2 linked regions of the Tribolium castaneum genome follow. The protein of the gene in region 2 purifies or fractionates together with the protein of the main gene of each other region. This does not show direct contact. Links are inferred from orthologs where the notes say so. Each region holds a gene or a part of one and is shown on either strand. Other genes may lie near its edges.

What was found.
Region 1: the proteins of Polr2J (region 2) and MED4 purify together in Homo sapiens (affinity purification with mass spectrometry; 3 studies listed by BioGRID and IntAct, with this or other methods). This does not show direct contact. The link is inferred for Tribolium castaneum from reciprocal best matches to the Homo sapiens genes POLR2J and MED4.

The regions. Positions count from the first base shown.
Region 1 is NC_087397.1:1,781,491-1,789,024, forward strand, and holds MED4 (mediator of RNA polymerase II transcription subunit 4), read right to left. Parts: upstream 4,553-7,534; 5' UTR 4,431-4,552; coding exon 4,363-4,430; intron 4,313-4,362; coding exon 3,619-4,312; 3' UTR 3,357-3,618; downstream 1-3,356. Other genes in the region: mAChR-B (muscarinic acetylcholine receptor gar-2), read left to right, coding at 1-244, 327-2,191; uncharacterized protein LOC661495, read right to left, coding at 4,652-4,884, 4,934-5,577, 5,625-5,893; beta-PheRS (phenylalanine--tRNA ligase beta subunit), read left to right, coding at 6,232-6,289, 6,342-6,397, 6,453-6,613, 6,662-7,001, 7,054-7,233. UniProt on the Homo sapiens protein: Component of the Mediator complex, a coactivator involved in the regulated transcription of nearly all RNA polymerase II-dependent genes.
Region 2 is NC_087395.1:21,128,249-21,135,245, forward strand, and holds Polr2J (DNA-directed RNA polymerase II subunit RPB11), read left to right. Parts: upstream 1-4,119; 5' UTR 4,120-4,362; coding exon 4,363-4,415; intron 4,416-4,470; coding exon 4,471-4,560; intron 4,561-4,610; coding exon 4,611-4,821; 3' UTR 4,822-4,866; downstream 4,867-6,997. Other genes in the region: mitogen-activated protein kinase 1, read right to left, coding at 3,694-3,821; uncharacterized protein CLIP-190, read right to left, coding at 5,516-5,562, 5,608-5,786, 5,835-6,997. UniProt on the Homo sapiens protein: Core component of RNA polymerase II (Pol II), a DNA-dependent RNA polymerase which synthesizes mRNA precursors and many functional non-coding RNAs using the four ribonucleoside triphosphates as substrates.

The DNA.
Region 1 (7,534 bases), on a different chromosome or scaffold from region 2:
ATCGACTTTCTCGAAGCTAATGCCACCAAGAACGGATCCAGCGACTTTGCTCCCAGTGTAACGCCTCACTTGCCGCCCTTCGAGCTCTGGCAAACCATCCTCATTGCGATCTGTTTAGGACTGTGCATTATTCTGACGGTTGCCGGGAATATACTGGTCCTGCTGGCCTTCATCGTCGACAGGAACATCAGGCAGCCCAGCAACTACTTCATAGCGTCGCTTGCCGCCACCGATATGCTCATAGGTGACACAATTTTAACAAGTCTTGTAATTTATTTGAGAAAATTGTCAATCATTGAGATAGTGAACAGAGTGGTTGGTTCCAGGCACCGTTTCCATGCCCTTTTACACCGTCTACGTGCTGATGGGTTCCTGGGACTTGGGACCCCTTCTGTGCGACTTGTGGCTGTCCGTTGATTACACAGTTTGTTTGGTTTCCCAGTACACTGTACTTCTCATAACAATCGACCGTTTTTGTTCGGTGAAAATCGCAGCAAAGTACCGAAGTTGGCGGACGAAACCACGAGTGGTTTGGATGGTTACCATCACGTGGATCATACCGGCACTTTTGTTTTTTATTAGTATATTTGGTTGGGAGCACTTTATCGGTTATAGAGATTTGGAGCCGGGACAATGTGCCGTACAATTCCTCAAAGACCCCATTTTCAACACTGCTCTTATCATAGGTTATTACTGGACGACTTTGATTGTTCTTTTTATTTTGTACGGAGGGATTTATAAAACTGCCTACGATATGCAGAAGAAAAGTGAAGCGAAACAGAGGAAGATGCAGTCTATGGTGGCGTTAAGTGCAGGAGCGATGTCAGGAATGGCAGGACGAGCAGCAGGAATTGGTCTGTCGAAGACTCAGAGTACTTTACTGAGCCAGGATAAGCCACAGACAATCGCCGCAGTTGTGAATAACCAATCGGGAATTACAGGAAATAATTTGACTTTGAAGGAGGATTCTAGTCAGAAAACTAGTTCTAGTAAAAGTAGCACGACAGTGACCACGACGACGACAACAGCCGATACGAACAACGTGGAGAGGAAAAACTTGTGTCTTCCTACAGGTCAAACGTCTAGCGGTGACCAAGACAAGTCTGAGAGGTCGAGCAGCCCGGCATTCGAATCGGACGAGGACAGTTCAGCCCAACACCAAACCAAGAAGCGCTCTTCCATAGTAGGGATAGTGGTACAGAGCAGCGCCCCCCTCCACATGTTCGAGAACAACAATCGCGTGAACGGCGGCATCCCCTCCAGCCAACCAGAGAAGCGCTCGCCCACTCTGCCTCAGATCTCCGAGCAGAGCTCGGCCAATCCGCAAAAGCCGGTAGGTTGCTCCGCCCCTCTTCAGCCCTCCCCTTCGCCAAAATCGACTCACAGCATCATTCCGCCCCCCGAGCAGTTCCAGAGTAGCCCCCCCGGACGCCCCCGCAACTTGCATGTGACCCCTTACGACGCCCTCGTCGGCCTAGACGGCGCCGACTTGCGGTACATGGACGAGAGCTCGGTCGTTGTCCCCTCCCCTTCGTGCGAAAGCCCCCCCTCGACGCCCCCTCCCACTAACGCGTCTTTGCTCCAGACGACGCTGATCCGCACGACTAGGAAAGTCAACACGGAGGTGACTCTGAGCTCTGACCGGCCTATCACCAGTGTTTGCGAGCTGTCGGTTGATGGCGCGAGGGACTCCGACCCCAGCACCCCCTGCGGCCTCTCCGCCATCAGCCAGACAGGTAATGCGGCCGCCATCATGGCGGCGACGACCATTGTCGAAGTCAGCAGAAATAAAACTTTTACTAAAACAGACACGGACGATAACGGCGCCGCCAAGAGGGATTTCGTCAAAAACATCGGCAAGAAGCTAAAGGGGAAGAAGAAGAAGGCGGTGGTACCGTTCGGGGGGTTCGGGAGGCAGAAGTCCAAGTCGGAGAACAGGGCCAGGAAAGCCCTCAGAACCATCTCATTCATTTTGGGAGCTTTCGTCATCTGCTGGACCCCATACCATATTTTTGCTCTCGTCGTGGGATTCTGCTCGGACCCACCGTGCGTCAACGGACACGTTTACATGTTCTCCTATTTCCTTTGCTACGCCAACAGCCCCCTTAATCCCTTCTGTTACGCTCTTGCCAACCAACAGTTCAAAAAGACTTTTACTAGAATTTTAAAAGGTGATCTACATTTGACGTAAACGGCGATAATTTCGTAGTACCACCTCCTGACTAGGAACTATTTTCTTTTAAACATTACTTACTGTACTTAATACTCGTGCATAGCATTCGTTCAGGTCAATAATTACCAAAAGACAATAATATATTTATAGGAATCCTAAATTAGCTCATTAGAGGTACCACGCTGGTTTTACGCGGGACCCAAGCTTCACTAAATTATTTTAATATTTTGTAAATACACGCCTTTAGCTACAAAATGTACTTTAGTGCGCAAATACATGTAATAATTAATTGACAGTTCGGAAAATGTGGTACTGTATATATCTGTAAAGTTAAGTGTATAAGAAACCCGATTATTTATAAGTACGTAATGACAGTCTGCTGTACTGAGCCCTACCAGCTCACTCTCATTACGTTTCCAGTCCTTTGAAAACGTGCTCTAGGCGAATCAAATGAGAGTATTTTTCTTGATATTTGAGTAAATTAGGTAACAAGAGAAATTCCGTTTGTTGCAAAGGTACTATTATTTTTGGAAAGTTGAGACACTTTGTGCTGTTCTACAATAAGTGCATCGCCACTACCTTAACACATGGTAATAATGGGAGTAGAGCTGTTAAAAAAGAATCAGTTATTGTCGATATTCATTAAAGCGTTGTTTAATCAAAGTGCATTGTTAAGCTCAAGCACCACCAGTTGATCAAGCCTTGGAAATGAGTCGCCTGTATGTTATTGATTTATTGATACCCATATCGCGTAATAATGACAATAAATAACTCGTTTGTTAAAGTATTTCGAAAAATTGATTACAGTTGGAAACTTATCATTATCGATACTGTGATACGATAATGTCATTGTTAAGAATATCGATAATATTCGGTGACTTTCTCTCGTTTTTCAGCCCTAGCTCTGCTGTAATAACGCGGTTTAATTTTCAAATTATCACACTACGACCCTGTGATAAAAAACTCACATATCCGATAAAAATTTAAATCAAAAAACCTACTTGTAAATTTGTACCTATCATAAAGACGCAATCAAAACAACAAACTTGTTTTTATAGAAAGTGAGTGTTGTTTAGAAATTTCAGAAAATGAGAAACTGCTTCATTTTTGTGATTATCATTTCATCAAACAATAAATTTGAATCACTTCAGCTTGTAGGGAATAATTAAATAATAGACGTTGGTATTACAATGAAATGTGTTTTATTTTCCTTCCATTATAAACAAACATAAGAAAACAATATTCGTCAGACGCAAACAAAGATCTTATCTAAACTGTCACGAAGAGTTGATTGATGAGATAAGCAGACAAGACTTTTTCCCCAAATAGCCGCCTCAATCTATTGATTTATCATTTTATTTCCCCTCATGGTATACTCTCCACACAAACTCGCTTAATTTTTTTATATAAATATGATGAATCAAGTCCAGGGAAAAAACACAAAACTACTGAGAATCGCTTGAGGAACTGCTGCTGGAGTCCGTGGACATGACCTCCACATCCTCGGTCTCCTGTTTATGGTTCCGCGTGTCCATCGGGACACTCCCTTGCCCCACACTCATGTGAATCTCCCCCGAGGGATGCCATGCAAATTGATTTTGTTGCGCGGCGGGTATTTCCCCCGGGTGCCCCTGTCTATGTAAATCTGACAAACTGTTCTGCTGTTGCAACAAATGCCCGTTAATTGGATCGCTCATCAGCCGCCCCAGCAGCCCCAACCGCATCTCAATATCGGTGGGGTACGGCCGGCGCGGGTCCCCCTGTTGCCACGTCAAGGGGGCACATATCGCATTAGACGCGCTAATCCTGTGCGCAAATTTGATAAGTTCCTCGGACGAGACCGGCCGTTTATTTGCGCGGGAAATGGACTGGAGTTTCTGGTTGGCTTGATAAATCGCAGTGGCCAGGATTTGCTCGGCCTCTTTGAGCTGTTTTTGCAAGTTGTTAATGTCGTTGTCCTGACGCTCCACTTCGGCCTTCAAGATGTCCATTTTTTTGTCGATTTGCGCCTGTTCAGCGGCCAGTTTAAGGGTTTCAGTCAGTTCGGTGTTTTTGGCCACCAAAAGCTCGGTCAGTTGAGCGTATTCAGGGCCGGAAAGCTTGAGGTGCTTGGGGGCGATTGAATTCTCGATTATTTCTCTAAAAAACGCAAATAAAACCATACGAAATGACCCGAAAGGGGGACGTACTTGGAGATTAACTCAATATCGTCGAGGATGTAAAGGAGTTTTTCCTTCGTGCTCATTTGAGACGACATAATGATGGGGAAAAACACTCACGGGTTTAAATATTAAACGAAATAATCAATTGAACAGTTTTTATTTCGAACACAACCTCAAATACACAAATGTCAAAATAACGCGCACACTGCGATGCCATCTGCCCAGAGAATAACTAAATCGTAAGAGCGGGAATTTTAATCGAAAAAATTACTTTATTGAAAGAAACCTAAGCTAAATTAAAATATATACACAAAATTCAATTCTCTTCACTCTTGACTTGAACCGCCGGCTCTTCCTGCTTCACATCGTCATCCTGTGTCTCATCTTTACTATTCTCATGCAATAAAACGTACTCCCTTGAGCTGAACCCAAACTTGATCACGTCTTTCTCCAACAACTCCACATATTTACTCGGCTCTATCTTCTTATTATTGATAAAAGTCCCATTAGCCGAGTTCAAATCAATCAAATACGGCCTTATTCTCTTCCCTGAAAAAAACAATGAAAAACCCAACACACTACCAGCTGTCCCACAAACCAGTGGTGCCATCCTCACGCGTGAAAGGGACTAGGCGATACTGCAAAGCTGCGTGTTGTTTTGAGCACGAAGGGTGATCTACAGGGAGATCAACAACTTTGCGATCGCGCCCAATCAAGTAGGCGCTTTCGCGATGTATGTATAAAGTCTGAAGGGCCTTTTCGCCCTTAAAAGGGTACAACCGCCACCGACGTTTCGGCTTGCAAGCCTCAGGCGGCTCGCTATATTTTATAACAACGCCACGATAAGTGTTAGTTTCTTCGGTAAGTTTTCCCGAAAGACCGAAATTCGGTTTTTGCTTTTCCTTCTGGTCTTTTTCCTTCTTGTCGGATTTTTTGTCGTCCGACTCGCGGCCCCAACGGGCGTTCGAGTGGTCAAAGGAGGCGCTTCTGCTACGCCGCCTTGGATGGTTCTCTCTGTTTCGCTCCCGGTTGTGGTAATTTTTGTTATCGTCCCGTCGGTTCCTGTAATCCCGTTCCCTGTCTCTGTAATCAGGACGCCGGTTTCTGAACCTGTTATCGTGAGAACGGTGGTCATTGGGGCGGTTTCTCCTGTCGTCATGCCGCCCCCGATCGTCCCGGACCCTCTTATCGTCCCTCTCCCGCCTGTCCCGATTTTCAGGCACAGGACTCCGCTTGCGTTTCCTTTAAACACAACTAGTATTTTCCCTTAAAACCACCAACAATCATACCTGTCGGTTTCTTCCTCATTTGTTGGCTTTTTGTCCCTCTTTTTTGCCTGTTTATTCGCCTCGTCACTTGCCACAGGCGGAGTTTCGTGTTTTTTATGCGAGTTTGCCTTCGTTTTGGTTTTCTTCGGCGATTCTTCAGTCTCAGGTTTCGATTCGGTTTTCTTGCTTTTACGTTTCGGGCGCCGTTCGGGTGATGAATCGGAGCTTTCGCTGCTTGAATCTGATGAACTGGAGCTGCTGGAAACGCGCTTCTTCTTCTTTGAGCCCATTTTTTGTTTGTTTGGGCGAAGTAACTTTAAGGTTATAAGAAACGCTACGTCTCGCAATTGACAGGTGTGCCAATACAACCGGCGAAAAAAAATATTGTGGGAAAAAATTAATTAAATTTGCATTATTATGTTCCGATTATAGTTCTGACGAAGACTAATTGTTAAATAATCTTAAAAACTGGCGTTTTTTCTCGAAAACTGATCGCTGATGCTGACAATTGACCCAACCTCAACTTTTGACATTGACAGGTCCCGCACATGTCATCGTTTTTTCAGTTGTGAAACACTTTAAACGTGTTCATTTTTAGACAAAAACGTGATAGTAAATAAAAAATACAATGCCGACTGTGGGTGTCAAGCGCAATTTGCTATTCGAAGCCCTTGGGCGCACTTTCAGTAAGTTGTTTGATCACTGTGCCCCCTTATTGCCCCAATTTGCAATTTCCAGCCGACGATGAATTCCAGCGTTTATGCTTCGAGTTCGGTCTTGAACTGGACGAAGTCGTAAGTATTAATCTTTCAAGCGATAAAATGATGCAATAATGCCCTAAATTTCAAGACAACTGAAAAACAGATGATAAGTAAGGAACAAGGGGAGGATTCAGCCCAGGCGGCGGGAGCCTCCGAGGAAGTCATTTATCGAATTGACATTCCTGCAAACAGATACGATTTATTGTGTCTTGAAGGCATTTCATTAGGAATTAAAATATTTCAGGGGAAGTGAGTCATTAGTTTTGCCTTGACTTTGGCACTGTAATGTTTTTGTAGAATTCAGCCGCCGGTTTACAAACGTATCAAACCGTCATCAGACAGTATTCAAAAAATTCACGTCACACCCGAAACGGCGAAAATCAGGCCTTATATCGTAGGCGCCGTTTTGCGTAATTTATACTTCACTCAAGATTCTTACAACAGTTTCATTGATTTGCAAGATAAGTTGCATCAGAATATTTGCCGCAAACGCACGCTTGTCTCAATCGGGACGCACGATTTAGATACAGTTCAGGGGCCCTTCACCTATGACGCTAAACCACCTTCTGAGTTTAAGTTTGTACCACTTAATCAAACCAAAGAGTGTGACGGCAACGGCGTTATGGAGCTCTATTCAGTAAGATTTTGACCGAGTTTGGGGGATTCCCAACAGTCACGTGATATTTCAGGCGCACGCGCAGCTAAAACAATACTTGCACATCATCAAAGACAGCCCTGTATATCCACTCGTTTTGGACAGTAATGGGGTTATTTTATCCCTTCCGCCGATTATTAATGGGGATCACTCCAAAATTACACTCAACACCAAAAATGTTTTGATTGAATGTACGGCAACTGATTTGACTAAAGTGAGTTGAACGTTTCAATTGAAACATGCCATAGTGGAAAATTTTATTCATTAAAAAAATTCATAACTCGAAAACTAAAAGTCGTAGAGCAATGCGGTTTGTTCCATTGAATTCAGCGGCTCATTTTCTGTGTTATACCAACTTTTCATGAGATTTAAAATTTTCATTTTTTTTGCTAAAATTTTCTGAGTAATACACTTGCTTACCTTCAAGAAGGTGAAAAAAAAAATTTTTTTTAAACTAACTCCTGCAAATTTTTATGGACTTCTACATGTCTTAACAACCCACTACAGTTGCTAAA
Region 2 (6,997 bases):
CTGGCACAGTGTAACAATTTAGTTGCATTTTAACGAAATTTATAAAATTAATTAATTGAAAATTTGTGAATTTCACAACTGACAGTTTTGATATTTATTGACAGAGAATTTAATTGAACAGAGGAGCACATTTTTTTTCACATGTAAACCAACTTCAAAGTTAGATGAGAATCATTTCGCCCTTGTAAAGATTTTTCCTCGGATCGAAAGTGACAGTTCCTTTTGCATATTATATTGATTAGAAAGTGACGTTTCTATCAGTTGTCAAAACGACAAATTTAAACTAATTTGTATATTCTTGTCCTTGGTTTTTCTTTTAGGAATGCTTGACAACTAAATGACAGCATAATATTTATGCACTCCGAGATTCAGCCAAAAAAAAATCGTATATTCTCAAACAAACAGAAAACAACAATTCATTTTTTTCTAATTTTCCATTAAAAATAATAATAATAAAAAATAATAATTATAATAATTTGCATTTTATTAATGTATTTTGCAAAAGAAAAAAAAATAATGAGTAAATAAAATCGTATACGTGGTAGTAAATCTTTTGTACTATTTAAAAAATCTTCAAATACTTAAATATATTTATGAGTTGACGTTATTGTGTGAAAAATAAGGATCCGGTGTTGCTTGGTTACACTGTTCACCATAATAGCTCACTTCCCGTACTCAAAATGAAACCGGGAACCTGAATCTACCGGATAATGATATGAAATAAATAAAAATATGTAGGTAAGTATATTACCATTTTCAAAAGAAGATAATATGTATTTAGTACAAATGAGGCATGCGTCCCCATAGCATATTTACTAAGGGGGCGACGTTGCCGTAGCCACAGCCCCAATAATCCTCTTTTTTTTTATTTTCCAACTAGGAGGGGCTGCTAAAGATATATTTTTACAGTATCTCAAAAATAACAACCAATCAAAATTCAAATTCAAAATTCATTCTCTATACATCCGATTAATCGTGTTTCAAAATTGTTGAATTCCCAGTTCAGAGCGTTGTAGAGAATGACTTCACTAGTCCAAATGTAGAAACAAAATAAAGATTTGGAGCTTCCCCACAAAGATACACTAGTTTGACGGTGCACTTCAGGTGCGTTTTCTTCAAATACAGGCAAAAAATTTTAGTGTTTATTGTTATTTATGGTGAAGATAATTGTGTAAAATAATAATGCAAAATAATTTCTCGAAAATTATCAAAATTTAAGATTCCTTTCTCTAATATAACGCTAATTTTTAAGAAAATTATTTTACATAATTATTCTCCACAATCATGTACACCATATATCGCAATAAAAACTGGAACTTTTAGCTTGCATTTGAAGAAAACGCAATTCAAAAGTTATCTTCAAACTAGTGCATCTTTGTAAAGAAGCCCACAATCTTTTTTTTCTATATTTGGATTACTGAAGTGATTTTCTACAATGCTCCAAACTCGAAATTTGCCAATTTTGAGACACTCTATATATATAATTTTTTTAACATTCTTTTTACAATTACTTATATATTCGAATTGAAAAAAAAACAACTTAAGATTTCATAATTTCATACGACATTCAAAGACGAACAATGCTAAAATGTTGCTTTGCGCAAAAAAAATTGTCGCTGGACTCAAAGTGTAAATGGTGGACGAAAAAGACAAATTGCGGTTTAGAGATCGACTTATCGAATTTCTACTGCTCGAGGTATCTAATAATAAATACAGCGGAACCTCGATAAATCGAAACTCTAGATCTTGAAAATTTGATAACAGCCATTCCATTTTAACGGACGGGACACTTTGCACTGTTAATTTCAGTTTTTACGAACAATATCAGTAGAAGTAAATTTTTCTTTATACGAACTTAGTCCCAATCAAATTGTTTGCAAACTACAACTAGAGCCACATTTATAAAGTTTGAAATACCTTCAAGAAAAAAAATACAAACTGATAACAGACGAGACACAAAAAAAATCGCTGAAATAAGCTCACATAAAAAATACACACAAGAAAAATGCCCACACGAAAAAAGATCACATCGAAAAAAATCACAAGGAAAAAATCCACATAGAAAAAACCTCAAGTTGAAACCACCCCACAAAGAAAGCCCACCTAGAAAAGAAAAGTCCACCCAAAAAAAACACATAATTAAAAGCCCAACCGTCAAAAAGCCCAAGGAGAAAAAACTCACAGAAACTCACTAAATTTCAAATTTAGATTTTATGTTAGATACCCTAACATAAATAAATAGGAATAAACCCAAAGTAAATAATGTAAAAAAATTTGTGTGCCTCCTAGTCGCTATCCCCAGCTTTATAAAGTGAAATAGCCTAACTTTTTCGAAAAAAATTGATTGTATAATTATTTCTGAAACTATACAGTGCATCTACCAAAAATAAAAAGCGATTTGAAGTAGTTGAGAGACTGAACTTCTGATTTTTTTAAATTCATATCACTTGTCACCTCCGAGTCGCAACCTCAATCTCAATTTGTACTTTATTTCACTGCAAAAAATGCAAATGCGTTGTTGCTAAATTCTACTATGAACCGACATGGCATACATGTATTAATATTTTTAATAAATATTTATTTATTGTATACGAAATTATAGAAAAATTCTGAAAAAATTCACATACATAGAGAAAAAATAAAGTATTTAATACCAAACGCTGATTTCCGTGAGATTACTATTTGTATACACCTTGTACAATACGATTTTTTTAAATTTTGATCTAGTTACCATGAGTTTCGCCAGCAGAAACGAATTGCGTAAATATCTTCAGCATTGCTTTATCTGTCACTATGTCCAAAATGTTCAGCAAAGAACAAAAAAATTATGTTGGAATCCAGGTTGGAACCTTCTTCCGTAATGGACATCGGGTTAACGTAATAACGTTAACTGTCATGAATAACTAGATCAAAAGTTTAGTAAATCGCATGGTATTTGGATGAGCACTTTAAAAACAGGTCTCTTAAAATTGTGTGATACACACTGTATTTAATAAGGTACCCAACAATTTTTTTAAAAATTTGTAAGCGTAGATAACTTCAATGTTTTTTAAATGTAGGATCTATAATAAGTATAATATATAGTAGTAATAATACAATATTAATTATTAATAAAAAAAGTTAGTTGATATACCAAATAAGTGCTACTGTCAACAATTAATGAATAAATTATTTCATTTTAGCATAATATGCAAAAACAATAAAACTAAAAAACAGAAAATAAGAAAAAAGTCACAAAATAATAATCATACCAATTTATTCTAACAATTAGGCTAAAATTACCGAAAAGTAGTCGGTGTTGTCTTCTAAAAATAAAATAATTTGACGTTTTTAAATGTTTTGTTAGTTAAAAATAGCAAATTGTTTCATGTATGAAACTCGGAGCCAATGAATCAATTTCGGAAAAGCCCGAAATCAGCCAAAAACTTTAAATAAATCACTTGTCTCCAGGCTACCGTCCTAAAACATCGATTTCTTCCAAACTAATGACAGGAAGTTATGTATACATAACCTCAACCTCTAATGAAAAAACCATTTGACAAGCCACCGCCAACTTTATGAACATTTTTCTTTTTGTACAAAACCGGTAAAACTAAAAAATGATCGAGTTACTGAAACTGGAACAATATCCGCAATTTTAGGGCGTGTAAGTTAGAAAACCACAGCGACTAATGATAAGGAAAATTTACTCACACGACCATTCCGTATGCGCCTTCTCCAATGTATGATAAGTTCGTGTAACGGGGGCCCACCTCAAATACCTGACCCCTTACAACTTCTGCATTCGGATTTACACTTGATACACCTGTGGCTTCCGCCATTTTTAGCGAAACCTCCTAAACTACCTTCCTCGATGACAAACTCACGCACACTGAAGCCACAGACTGAAGCAGAGAGGAGCCGATCCCTAATATTTATCAGCTGATATCAGATCGTTATTATTCACACTTATTACCAATTTTTTCAAACTCCAACTAATTGTAGACTCGTTAGTAACGTTTTCACGTGGATTTTTCCAAATTTGAGGCTTTTTTGGTTTTTAAAACGAATTTATTCCCAGAAAAGATAGCCAAATAACGCGCCCCCTGGTGGACCAACTGAACACTAGTCGGGAAGCACCCTAATTTTATTTTCCATTATCGAACCCACAATAGGGCTACAATTTTCATTTTGGCGGCATTTGTAATACCCTATTAGACGTTCGATAAGTTTTTAAACAGAAAAATAAAAAATTCCGATATTTGGTTTTTGACAGATGACAGGACAGGTGACATAACCCACAAAAAAGTGACGCACTAATAAAAAGTTGTTAAAAATTAATAAGCGGTTTAAAAAGCTCAGTGAACAGTATTTCCATTCAGGATGAATGCGCCACCAACCTTCGAGTCATTTTTGCTCTATGATGGAGAGAAAAAGTGAGTGGGCAAATTCTCTGGACCAAAAATTTATTTTTACAAATTGTGTTTTTAGGATAATAAGGGAACAAGACACAAAAGTGCCAAACGCGGCTATTTTTACCATAAACAAAGAAGACCACACGTTGGGAAACATGATCAGAAAGTGTGTAACAAAACATTAAGGTTTAGGTTGAATTATTTTTGATTTTTTAGCCAATTGTTAAAAGATCCGAACGTTTTGTTTGCTGGATACAAGGTGCCTCATCCACTTGAGCATAAATTTGTGTTGAGAATTCAAACAACATCTGATTATTCGCCTCAAGAAGCTTTGATGAATTCTATCACAGATTTGATTTCAGAGTTGTCTTTGTTTGAAGAACGTTTTAAGGAAGCGATCAAGGAAAAGAAAGAAGGTTTAGATTAAGTATTTGAATTTATTCACTAATAATAAAGTTTATGCTTCGATAAATCAGTCTTTGTTATGTACCCAAAAATATGTCTTGCGTCCCAGCGTCAAAAGTTTAAAATGACTTGTTTATTTATGATGGTTAATAATTCGTTTTCAATTTTTATTCAAAATAAGCTATTTAAGATTTATTAAAAGGTGGCAAAGTCTGTGCTTTAAAGCACTTACGTAAATACAGTAAAACCTCAGTGATCCGTGTACACAGGCTGTCCGTTTTGCGAGCTCCACCATGAGTAATAAAATTTTATCGGTCTATTTAAAAATTAGCCTGTATATCGAAAGTGAGTTTTCAATTAAAAAAAAAACCTCAAAAATACTTTAAAACTTGGATGATTTTTGGCTAAATTTTGAAAATAATTCTGACTGCACCGTTATGTCATTTAGGTATTTAAGAACAATTTCATTTTTGTTTACCTTTCCAGAAATTTTTTCTGACTTAATTATAATTATAGTGGTTGAAGAAAGAAACGAGCATGTAACTGTTATTAACAGAAAAATATATTTTTATTTAATTCACAATCCTTTATTTACAATTAACCTCATCAACGGATAACTTACAAAACAACTAATTTGTGTCAAATAAATATTAACTAGAAATTTTTACAAGATATTTATTAATTTGCTAAATAAATTATTAATAACAGAATATGTTCTAAAATGTCTGATCCTCCTGGCAATCTTCTGTGGCATGACCAAAGGCTGAAACAGTAATTAAACCAAATGTTAGAAAGTAAAAATTCTTACCTTCGCATATTTCGCAATAAGGCCTTTCCGGCACATGTTTATGCTCCCCCCTCTGTCCTCCATTAGCCGGCGCTAAGTCAGTATTTTGTTTGGGACAGTCTTCCGTTTCGTGCAAATCAAACTCTTCGCAAATATCGCAATAGACCCTCGGAGGCACTTGACGCTGCGGCGAACCCATCCTACAAAAACCCCATCACAAAGCAATCTCCACTAACAAATCCCTTTACAATTTCAATTCGTCAGCCATTGCCGGACTATATCCCGACTCCAAGATCTCGATCCTCGCCCTTTGCTCTTCCGTCTTCTTCTGCATATCCACGATAATCGAATTGAGGAACTTGATCTGGTTCTCTGCCATCTCCTTGTCCTGAATAAGCTGGTGACAATTGTTACATTTGGCGTTAATCTGCGAGTGAGTTAATGACTGAGCCAAAATAGCGTCCATGCAATGTTGCAATGCTGCTTGTGTGTGTCTGTAAACTTGGTTCAGGTTTCTGACAAATGTTGCTCGAGACGCGGACACCGACGAAACATGCTGGAAGGGACGCAAAGGAACGGAAGGAGAGACAGACTTCATGACATGCAACATCGGGAGAGGAACTGCAGGTAACTGCTCTTGTCGCAAATTCGACAAACCGTTCAATTGGAGTTGCAACTGTTTGATTAATTTCTTGTATCGACACAACTGAGAGGCGTAAGTGTGCACCCGTTTTAGTAATCTGGCCTGACACAGTGGCCCCTTTGACGGGAATCTCGCACGATCTAACTGCGCAGATTTAGGACCGAAATCACAATTCTGTTGGTGTTTGAGCAATTGCAGCAAATTTCGTTTGAACAATTCGAGGTTATTTGACCCAAAACCGCCCAAAATTACTGCGCTTACTACATTTTCAGGTCGTTCGCAATTTCGAGGAAGCGGCAAAGTTGGTAAAATAATTTGACCCGTCTTATTGCAAGGTACTGAAACGAGTACCGGTTTTGTGATAATTTGTGGAGGTTGAGGCACTGGTACTTTCTCAATCACAACTTTTGGAGGCGGACACGACTTACCATTGACCATTGGTACCTTAACTTCCTTAATTATCACCTTTGGTGGTACTAATACACGAACCGGTACTTGTTTCTCCACGATTTTGGGTACTTTAATATACACTGGTACCTGCTTGACCAAAACGTTCGGACCTGGCGATTGTTTCATGGTAGGTTTACCTGATTGTGGTCCCAAAAATTTATTATCGCCAGATTCAGTATTACAAGGTTGTAGAACGAAAACTTTTCGAACAATTGGTACTTCCTTAACTACAATTTGTGGTTTAGGGCATAAAGTAACAGGTTTAGCACCAACTGGAACCAGTCCAGCGTTATTAGATGATGCATCACCTGGTTTATG